Saccharomyces cerevisiae S288C: one gene and its partner. Changing the gene in region 2 together with the main gene of any one other region gives a genetic interaction. Each region holds a gene or a part of one and is shown on either strand. Other genes may lie near its edges. The genes, in order: BUD5 and BUD2.

Evidence for each region.
Region 1: of BUD2 (region 2) and BUD5, changing one suppresses a phenotype caused by changing the other (phenotypic suppression), as found in Saccharomyces cerevisiae (one study listed by BioGRID).

The regions. Positions count from the first base shown.
Region 1 is NC_001135.5:196,805-201,509, forward strand, and holds BUD5 (Ras family guanine nucleotide exchange factor BUD5), read right to left. Parts: upstream 2,746-4,705; coding exon 817-2,745; downstream 1-816. Other genes in the region: PHO87 (SPX domain-containing inorganic phosphate transporter), read right to left, coding at 1-381; MATALPHA2 (homeodomain mating type protein alpha2), read right to left, coding at 2,742-3,374; MATALPHA1 (transcriptional co-activator mating type protein alpha), read left to right, coding at 3,638-4,165; YCR041W (uncharacterized protein), read left to right, coding at 4,107-4,439; transcription initiation factor TFIID subunit TAF2, read right to left, coding at 4,370-4,705. UniProt on the Saccharomyces cerevisiae protein: GDP-GTP exchange factor (GEF) for the small GTPase BUD1/RSR1. Regulates the activity of BUD1 together with BUD2 which is a GTPase-activating protein (GAP) of BUD1. Required to produce both the axial and bipolar patterns of bud site selection.
Region 2 is NC_001143.9:265,329-271,172, reverse strand, and holds BUD2 (GTPase-activating protein BUD2), read left to right. Parts: upstream 1-1,713; coding exon 1,714-5,028; downstream 5,029-5,844. Other genes in the region: YKL091C (phosphatidylinositol/phosphatidylcholine-binding protein), read left to right, coding at 523-1,455; MBR1 (Mbr1p), read right to left, coding at 5,365-5,844. UniProt on the Saccharomyces cerevisiae protein: Stimulates the GTPase activity of BUD1/RSR1. Participates in the regulation of bud-site selection.

The DNA of each region.
Region 1 (4,705 bases), on a different chromosome or scaffold from region 2:
AGAGGTGGTTTTCCCTTGAGGAGATAACTCGTCTAACTCAATTGTTTCCTCGTTAATATTGTTCCCATCTATGGCCTTTTCGTCGGAGTCTCCCCTTTTGCTTCCTGAAGGTGTTTTAGAACCAAAGAGCTTACGCTTGAGTTTATGTGTAAATCTTCTTTTCGATGAAGATGGTTCTCCTGCAGCTATGTTGCTTTCTATATCAGCGATTGGACCTGGAGTCTGAGAGTCAGCGTCATCGTTTAAGTCACCGGTTGGCGTTTCTTGTTTCAATTCATCTGTCTGTAATGTGTAGATCAAATTTTTCAATTCGTTATAATCTAGGTAATGATTCTGCCATTCAGGGACAGCGTTGTATTTGAGAAAGTGTGAGAATCTCATTTCGAGGCACAATAATAGCCGCCTTTACCGTAGTTTTGCTGCACCTTTATCTGAGAGCTGACTGCTTTTTTGGTGTGAAACACTGTTTTCTGGTAATAATTTTTCAATGCATCGGATTACTTTTCCCACGTGCGAAATCATCAATTAATTAGATTGAAAAAAGGGTAAGGGAAAATAAGAAAGAGGCGGTAGCCTAAAGATACGGTAATTGAAACGTTTCCTATGCACAATCTTAAACCTTTTTAGGTAATTGATTAAGTTGACTGTAATATCTGTAAAAGATTACATCTAATTTACGTCTGGTTTCTTATCAAAAAATATTATCTACTGTAGTTATGCAAGTATTCTTAATTTTCAGTACTAAACATGAATATTAATTATTTGTGAGCGTACAAGAAGCAAAAGGAAGTCATCTTTCTTTGAACAGTTCTGTTTTTAGGTAAGCCTTGGAACCTTAGCTATACTGACTTGATACGCCCTGTCTTTGTTGTCGTTATATAAAGTGTGCACCTTTATCATAGCCCCTAATAAGCTTCTTGCAGTAGTATTTGAACAGTGTATATCTTCATATTGCTTTTGTTGTAAATATTGCGCAAAAGCGACTATCTTTGTGATTTGGTTGAACTTTTGCATATTCACGTTATTACCATCTTTAGTGAATGTATCGTTTCCGTCTCTTATGAAGGTAATGTCCCTGATAAGCAGTGATGTAAAAGGTACACAAGGAAGCTGACTGTGGAAAATATGTTTAATTGTTCTTCTATAAACGTTGTAGTTGTTGTTTGGATGTACGACGACTTTTAGGCGCTGAAAAAGGTGGTCTGATTTAACATCTATCGGGAGAGATAGTCTTTCTATTGAATGATTTTGCAATGATGTAATGATTGAAGCAAGTGAGTTTAAGTTTCGTAAGTATAGACAAGACAGTGCAACTTGTAACCAGTAGGAAATGGTGTGCGTTTGCTGCAAAGTTGTCTCAAGAACGTAGGACGATAACTGGTTGGAAAGCGTAAACACGGAGTCAATTGTTGTATCGTTGTGTTTGAAATGTCTTGTGAATTCTATTGTTTCAATATCCAAGTAAAGAGAAGATTCTAAGAGAGTCAATGTCTTTGCAAGTGACCATGGAGATACGTTTAGAGCGAAGGCTTCGACTTCTAGAAGTTCACCCTGTTTCCATTGGAAAAGTAAATCACTGAGGTCAGTTGCACCGCACAATTCATCATTTGCGTTCGTTTTGTCTATCTCGTATTGGAGAAATAAGTTTTCGTAGTCCAGGGGCGGTTTATTTTCTTCGATTTCCTTATCAGTTAGACCAATGTAATGAATCTTCAATTGCCTCGTTCTTTTTTTGTTTATAAACAGCTGAACTATGTCTGCAAACAGTTCTTGGTATTCATAATATTCAGCCAAGTGACTGTACCAAAAATTGAGGATATCTTTTAATGTTGTCTCACTATCTTGCCAATAAGACTCTACCCAGATTTGTATTAGACGAGGGACGGAGTGATTTTTGTGTTTGTTTTTATTAATTGTGGGATAGGATAGTAGCAACTCTTGGAGGAGAGCATTGTCAGTTGTCCAGTCTCTGAAGTTAAGTAGTAAGTTTGCGGAGTCAAAGGGGGATGGCTTTTGCCATTTGTGAGAGTTGTGCGGCAGCATCTTATTCAAATAGAGCTGTATTCTGAAGACCTCTTGTAGAACATCATCCATACTAAAAAGTAAATCGTCCTGTCCCATTACGAGCTGTATTAGTGCTGTGACCCTCTGTATATTTACGTTGCCATGAAGAAGGTAATGGGCGATATTTTGATACAATTCCTGAGTTGCATGTTGGATTGAGTTTACGAAGGGTCGCCAGACGGCCAGAAACCTCCAGGCGGAGTTAACAACTAGTAATACGGCATCCATGTTTGCATCAGCGCCGAGCCTATACCAGTCACTGAGTAGACGTTTTCTTGCTCTTTTTATGTCCTGACTTCTTTTGACGAGGGGGCATTCTCTAGAGACACAGGCAGTTGCTTCCAGCAACTGCCGTACGGCCGTTCTCATGCTGTCGAGGATTTTTTTTGGGACGATATTGTCATTATAGGGCAGTGTGTGACTTATGAATTGTTGTAGAAGGACGTCTGTGATGTTGGAGATATGTATTTTGTTAACTCTTCTTGAGACGATTTGGCCCTGGATAGCGAAGCGTGCGGTTACAAATAGGTCGTCTTGTTCAAGAAGGTAGGCGAGGACATTATCTATCAGTACAAACATCTTAGTAGTGTCTGAGGAGAGGGTTGATTGTTTATGTATTTTTGCGAAATATATATATATATATTCTACACAGATATATACATATTTGTTTTTCGGGCTCATTCTTTCTTCTTTGCCAGAGGCTCACCGCTCAAGAGGTCCGCTAATTCTGGAGCGATTGTTATTGTTTTTTCTTTTCTTCTTCTATTCGAAACCCAGTTTTTGATTTGAATGCGAGATAAACTGGTATTCTTCATTAGATTCTCTAGGCCCTTGGTATCTAGATATGGGTTCTCGATGTTCTTTGCAAACCAACTTTCTAGTATTCGGACATTTTCTTTTGTAAACCGGTGTCCTCTGTAAGGTTTAGTACTTTTGTTTATCATATCTTGAGTTACCACATTAAATACCAACCCATCCGCCGATTTATTTTTCTGTGTAAGTTGATAATTACTTCTATCGTTTTCTATGCTGCGCATTTCTTTGAGTAATACAGTAATGGTAGTAGTGAGTTGAGATGTTGTTTGCAACAACTTCTTCTCCTCATCACTAATCTTACGGTTTTTGTTGGCCCTAGATAAGAATCCTAATATATCCCTTAATTCAACTTCTTCTTCTGTTGTTACACTCTCTGGTAACTTAGGTAAATTACAGCAAATAGAAAAGAGCTTTTTATTTATGTCTAGTATGCTGGATTTAAACTCATCTGTGATTTGTGGATTTAAAAGGTCTTTAATGGGTATTTTATTCATTTTTTCTTGCTTATCTTCCTTTTTTTCTTGCCCACTTCTAAGCTGATTTCAATCTCTCCTTTATATATATTTTTAAGTTCCAACATTTTATGTTTCAAAACATTAATGATGTCTGGGTTTTGTTTGGGATGCAATTTATTGCTTCCCAATGTAGAAAAGTACATCATATGAAACAACTTAAACTCTTAACTACTTCTTTTAACCTTCACTTTTTATGAAATGTATCAACCATATATAATAACTTAATAGACGACATTCACAATATGTTTACTTCGAAGCCTGCTTTCAAAATTAAGAACAAAGCATCCAAATCATACAGAAACACAGCGGTTTCAAAAAAGCTGAAAGAAAAACGTCTAGCTGAGCATGTGAGGCCAAGCTGCTTCAATATTATTCGACCACTCAAGAAAGATATCCAGATTCCTGTTCCTTCCTCTCGATTTTTAAATAAAATCCAAATTCACAGGATAGCGTCTGGAAGTCAAAATACTCAGTTTCGACAGTTCAATAAGACATCTATAAAATCTTCAAAGAAATATTTAAACTCATTTATGGCTTTTAGAGCATATTACTCACAGTTTGGCTCCGGTGTAAAACAAAATGTCTTGTCTTCTCTGCTCGCTGAAGAATGGCACGCGGACAAAATGCAGCACGGAATATGGGACTACTTCGCGCAACAGTATAATTTTATAAACCCTGGTTTTGGTTTTGTAGAGTGGTTGACGAATAATTATGCTGAAGTACGTGGTGACGGATATTGGGAAGATGTGTTTGTACATTTGGCCTTATAGAGTGTGGTCGTGGCGGAGGTTGTTTATCTTTCGAGTACTGAATGTTGTCAGTATAGCTATCCTATTTGAAACTCCCCATCGTCTTGCTCTTGTTCCCAATGTTTGTTTATACACTCATATGGCTATACCCTTATCTACTTGCCTCTTTTGTTTATGTCTATGTATTTGTATAAAATATGATATTACTCAGACTCAAGCAAACAATCAATTCTTAGCATCATTCTTTGTTCTTATCTTAACCATAAACGATCTTGATGTGACTTTTGTAATTTGAACGAATTGGCTATACGGGACGGATGACAAATGCACCATTACTCTAGGTTGTTGTTGGATCTTAACAAACCGTAAAGGTAAACTGCCCATGCGGTTCACATGACTTTTGACTTTCCTTTGTTTGCTAGTTACCTTCGGCTTCACAATTTGTTTTTCCACTTTTCTAACAGGTTTATCACCTTTCAAACTTATCTTTATCTTATTCGCCTTCTTGGGTGCCTCCACAGTAGAGGTTACTTCCTTTTTAATATGTACTTTTAGGATACT
Region 2 (5,844 bases):
ACTCCAGATGGAATTTATGTGCCTTAATTATACGTAAAACATTGTCCGTTCTCTTCAGTTATAATTACTGCTGATTCAGGGGCGGCAGCTGATATATCTCGAGTCACCTTCAAAAATCAAACCTGCTATTGGGACCCGTACTTCCATTTGGATTTACCAACTTGATTCTTCTATCAGAGACGAAGGCCCTTATAAACCTTGAACCTGAGCTTAAAATTTACATATTACTTTCTTGTAATCATTAAGTATGAATTTGCAAGGCGTTTACATGAAAAGAGGTCGGCATAGTACATATGGAAATTTACTGGTATGCAATCCATTATGTGTTATCATATCTTTTTTACATAACAGGCACTTCTGAAATTCCCCCTCTTGTATGCCCCTATTTACTCCTTTTTAAATTCTTCGGATTATTATTTAGATCGTGATTCTCTCTACTCAAACATTTCCTTGAACTTGTATAACGGGGAAATAAATCTGAAAAGCAATACATTTGCGCACTGTTAAAACTGGAAAGGAAGAATGACAACCAGCATACTCGATACTTATCCTCAAATATGCTCCCCCAATGCTTTGCCAGGTACTCCCGGCAATTTGACTAAGGAGCAAGAGGAAGCGCTTTTGCAATTTAGGTCAATCTTGTTAGAAAAGAATTACAAAGAAAGGCTGGATGATTCTACGCTATTGCGATTTCTACGGGCAAGGAAATTTGATATCAATGCTAGCGTTGAGATGTTTGTAGAAACTGAACGATGGAGGGAAGAATACGGTGCCAACACTATTATCGAGGATTATGAAAACAACAAGGAAGCCGAAGACAAAGAAAGAATCAAATTGGCCAAAATGTACCCTCAGTATTACCATCACGTTGATAAGGATGGGAGACCATTGTACTTCGAAGAACTAGGAGGAATTAACTTAAAGAAAATGTACAAGATCACTACCGAAAAACAGATGCTAAGAAACTTAGTCAAGGAGTACGAATTATTTGCCACGTACCGGGTCCCAGCGTGTTCGAGAAGAGCTGGCTACCTTATTGAAACTTCGTGCACTGTGCTGGACTTGAAGGGTATCTCACTTTCTAATGCTTATCATGTGCTTTCCTATATTAAAGATGTTGCAGATATCAGTCAAAATTATTATCCTGAAAGAATGGGTAAGTTTTATATTATACACAGTCCATTTGGTTTCTCGACGATGTTCAAGATGGTTAAACCCTTCTTGGATCCAGTAACCGTGTCAAAAATCTTTATTCTTGGCTCTTCTTATAAAAAGGAATTATTAAAACAAATTCCAATCGAGAACTTGCCTGTTAAATATGGTGGTACATCTGTCTTGCACAACCCTAATGATAAGTTCTACTATTCCGATATTGGTCCCTGGAGAGACCCTAGATACATCGGACCAGAAGGTGAAATTCCCAACATTTTTGGTAAATTTACTGTTACCAGCTAACTATGATACAGGCCTTCGTCGTAGCTTTCCGTGAATATAGCATGCATACTCTATAATATGTATATCTCTGTATCTAATAATAATTAATGACTTTCATTCTTGAACGCGTTCTGTTCGATAAAAAAGAAAGGTATCCAAACAAACGCCATTTATGAAAACGGAGGAAGAAACAACAAAATAGTAGGAATAACTACTCGGTCAGACTGAAAACTTTATCCGTGCATACGTCGTGGTGTTTATCTTTGATTGTATCATATTATGAGCTCCAACAATGAACCGGCCCAAAGTCGAACATCATATTTCAAATTGAATGAATTTTTGTCCAACGTTAAGCATTACAAGAATACCTTTAAGGGTGAGATTCAGTGGTGTAATAACCTGTCCTTAAACGACTGGAAGACACACTATCTGCAAATTACCAGTACAGGTGCACTAACCCACTCAATCGATGAGTTAACAGCAGACTCTACTAATATTCAGCCAATTATCAAACATCTACAGCAATGTAGAATCGAGATTATTAAGGATAAGCATTCCTCTTTTAAGGATATTAATGCAAATTGTAATTTTATAATCCAAGTAAACACCTCAGGTAAAGATAATAAAGTTTACCTGCGAGTTAAAAGTTGGAGTGATTTCAAGAAATTGCTAACATGTCTGATCTGGTGGAGCTCAATGAAGACAAATGGTATATTTAATAAGTTTCAAGTATCGCGACCTCTAGAATTTAAAAGCAAAAAAATGGCGAAACCAGAAAGTTTGCTGGTTTACAAATTGAATGTTTTTGGGCCCATCGTTAAGAACATCGTCCTTCCGCCAGCAACAAATATTTTAGAAAGCCCTGATATAATTAATAATGATGACAACAGCGTAGGTTGGTTTTCCGCTATGGGGGTGCTTAAATCAAACGGCATGCTAGATCTTCTTTTACAGAGTGACGGCTCTCTGATTTACTCATTGAATATTAGCCAGCTTTTAAGATCAGAGATAAGAATTCTGGATTCATCTGTTTTACAAAGTGAAAACAGTTTGTTTTTAGGTGAATTGCCATTACTAAGGAGCCAGTTGGGCCTCGAAAAGTTTCGCATAGAAAATATTGCCAGTGCTGCCACCAACTCTAGTGATATTTCTCAAGAAATTATTGTAGAGTTTCCCTTAAGAATAGACCTGGAGGATTGTTTTATAGCGTTACAATCGTTCGCTAGGTCGGAATACTTATCTATTACTGGCTCAGATAAATCAAATGATATGAAGATATCGAATAGCTTTAAAATTTCCATACTGGAAGCTAATTTTCAGTCAATCAATTTAAATGACAAGAATAATACGCCATGGTCAATATTCACAGACATAACGGCCTGGGGCCATACATGGGCTAGAACATCCATGGTTTCAAACTCCTCTAATCCATTTTGGAGAGAAGAGTTTCAGTTCAATGAACTTTTAAGACTTACTAATTCTTATCTGGAAATCAAGCAGTTATTCCACGATCTCAATAATAAAAAACGGTTACGATTGATAGGCAAAATAAAAATCACACAAGAAATAATAAATGATACAAGATATAATAAGGAAACAAGACTACCCATCATGGACGTTGATAACAAAAATTTTCAAATAGGAACAATCTGTATTAAAATTTCTTCAAATTTGAACTTCATTTTACCGTCAACCAATTTCGTTAAATTGGAAAAACTTTTGATGAACGCAAACTTGTCCATGGTTTCCAATCTAATTTACAAATCTTCTTCATCAATGGAGAATGATAACAAATTGACGCAAACATCCATAATTTTTCTCGATATATTCCAATCTTTGTCAAGAATAGAAGAATGGTTCCACGTCCTTATAGACAAAGAATTGGCTAAAATTGATGGAACGGTTTCAAGAATAAACCAGAAAAATTTAGACTCAAAGCATGTTTTCAACAGTTTATTCCGTGGTAACTCTATCTTAACAAAGTCGATTGAACAGTACTTTTTCAGAGTGGGTAATGAATATTTGAGTAAAGCGCTTAGTGCAATACTAAAAGAGATCATTGAGTCAAACAAATCATGTGAATTGGATCCTGCTAGAGTAAAAGAAAAAGATGAAGTAAAAAAGAGGAAAATAATTGCCGACAACTACAAACGATTGTATTCTTGGGTTACGAAGATTTGGAAAAGGCTGTATGCAACGAGTAATGACCTGCCGATTGAAATAAGAAATGTTTTAAAAATCTTTAGGCAAAAACTAGAGATAATTTGTATCGATGACACTTTGCAAATAATTTTGAATGGTATATCAGGATTATTGTTTTTAAGGTTTTTTTGTCCAGTCATATTAAACCCTAAGCTATTCAAATATGTTTCTCAAAATTTAAACGAAACAGCAAGAAGGAATCTTACCCTAATAAGTAAAGTTTTACTTAATCTGTCCACTTTGACGCAGTTTGCAAACAAAGAGCCCTGGCTAATGAAGATGAATAACTTTATCGATAAAAGACACAATGACTTATTAGATTACATTGATAAAATGACGCAAAAGAAACTAGATTTTAATTCAAAGATATTGAACCTAAGTTCTACTATTTCGAGACCCAAATTGGCCATTGAACAAACGATGTTGGATGATTTGCCTCAGATTCCTTATCTGCTTGATAAGAATTTGAGAGAAACTGAGTTTGTTAACTTGATTGTTAATTTCAGTCAGGAAGATATGACCAAGATGGAAAAATACAATCACATGGATAATGGTGGGAAGGGAGAATTAATCGAAGAGGAGGGCCTGTTAAGCGGTAGCAGCCTAAATTTGTCTGTGGATAAAAAAGATTTGGATTCACCAATTGAGGTTAAGCCAGAAATTGGAGAGTTAGAATTTGAGAAAATAACTGAAAACAACACGGAGATCTTCGGAGATGATTTAATGAACCTACTGAAAAGCGATGATGTAGGTTCCAGAAGCAGAGATTTGGATAATGGCGCTAATTCAGGCATCAAATTTAATTCTATAATCCCGAAAGCAGAAGAGGAAAAGCATGCAATGAAAGAATTGGAGCAAGAGTCATGTTTACTCTATAATAGGATTAATCATATTAGAAAACGGTTGTCAGGTTATGAATGTGCTTCCAGCACTTTGTTTGAAGACAAAAAATACTCCATTTCACTCTCACATAAAATTTTTTATGAAGAAATAAAGGAGGGAAAAGAAATTGTTCTTAAACTACTAAATAAACCAACAAATGAAAACTCTTCCGCAAGATTGCAGAAATTCTTCACAAAAGGTGTCTCTAGTAAATCCAATAACACAGTTGGAGATAGTTACTGTAAATTTTTGACTATTGATGTAAGTGATGAGAATCCCAAGAGTAGCAACAAAACATCGGTACATGGAACATCATCGGAAAATGGAGCCAAGGATGATTACTTGACGCTTCCAAACTCGCAAGGTAAAGGTAACTTGGGGAATAGATTTTCCCCGACAAAGTTATCTAGGATAATGAGGAAACCTCCTAACGCAGATGTTCCTAAAGAACAAAATTCCCGTAAGCTGACAAGATGGTTCAAAAAGAAAAAAGAAACAGGGGGATCTTAATCGTAGAAAAAAATGTTCACTTCATATTCTTTCCTTTGAAAGTTTTTTTTTTTTTACTTCTTTATTCACTACTTGTAACAGTATATAGCGGGTTGTACTATCAGCAGAAAAAAGTAATTCATAATTTTTCAGAAAGATTTCTCATAATATAGTATATAAAAAAATGCTTCGAGAGGAGATGATAGACAGCGATAAGTATATGGAAATTTGGAAACCAAACAGGAGATACAAATGGGTATATATTATATTTAATAAAAACGAACAGATGGCGATCCAGAATGTGGAAATAAATAACAAAGTTGAACATCATACGGTTATTCCAAGGTGGCGAGAATGTTAGCCTGCAAAGGAACTTGCTAGTGACATCTCAATGAAAGATTTTTTCCTCCCAGCACCAAAGTTTGGTTTCGAAGACTGTTGCTGTTGTACTGGCTGCCTTGGTTGGTGGAATTGATTTGTATTTGTACCTAAAGGGAAATTTAGTGATGAGGAAGTGTTCGAATGTGATAATGATGAGGAGGTGTCCCCTGTATCGTTCGGACAACACGATGATATTTCACGGGGCCGATTATTTGAAAACCTTTCAATACTTTCTTCTGGGTCAGCAGTCAAAGTATCCAACCCAGGTGAAACGTACTTTTCCAAGCCATACAAATGTGTTGGTATGGCAATGGCAGAAGACCTTGATCTTGACCTGGGTAGAGAAAACGACCTTGAGTTGCAATGTTGAAGTGAGTTACTAGAGAATTCTGAATTGGGTGTTTCACTTTTCAGTAATACGTTGTTTTTCTTTTTAGTACACGCACCGCTAAAGAG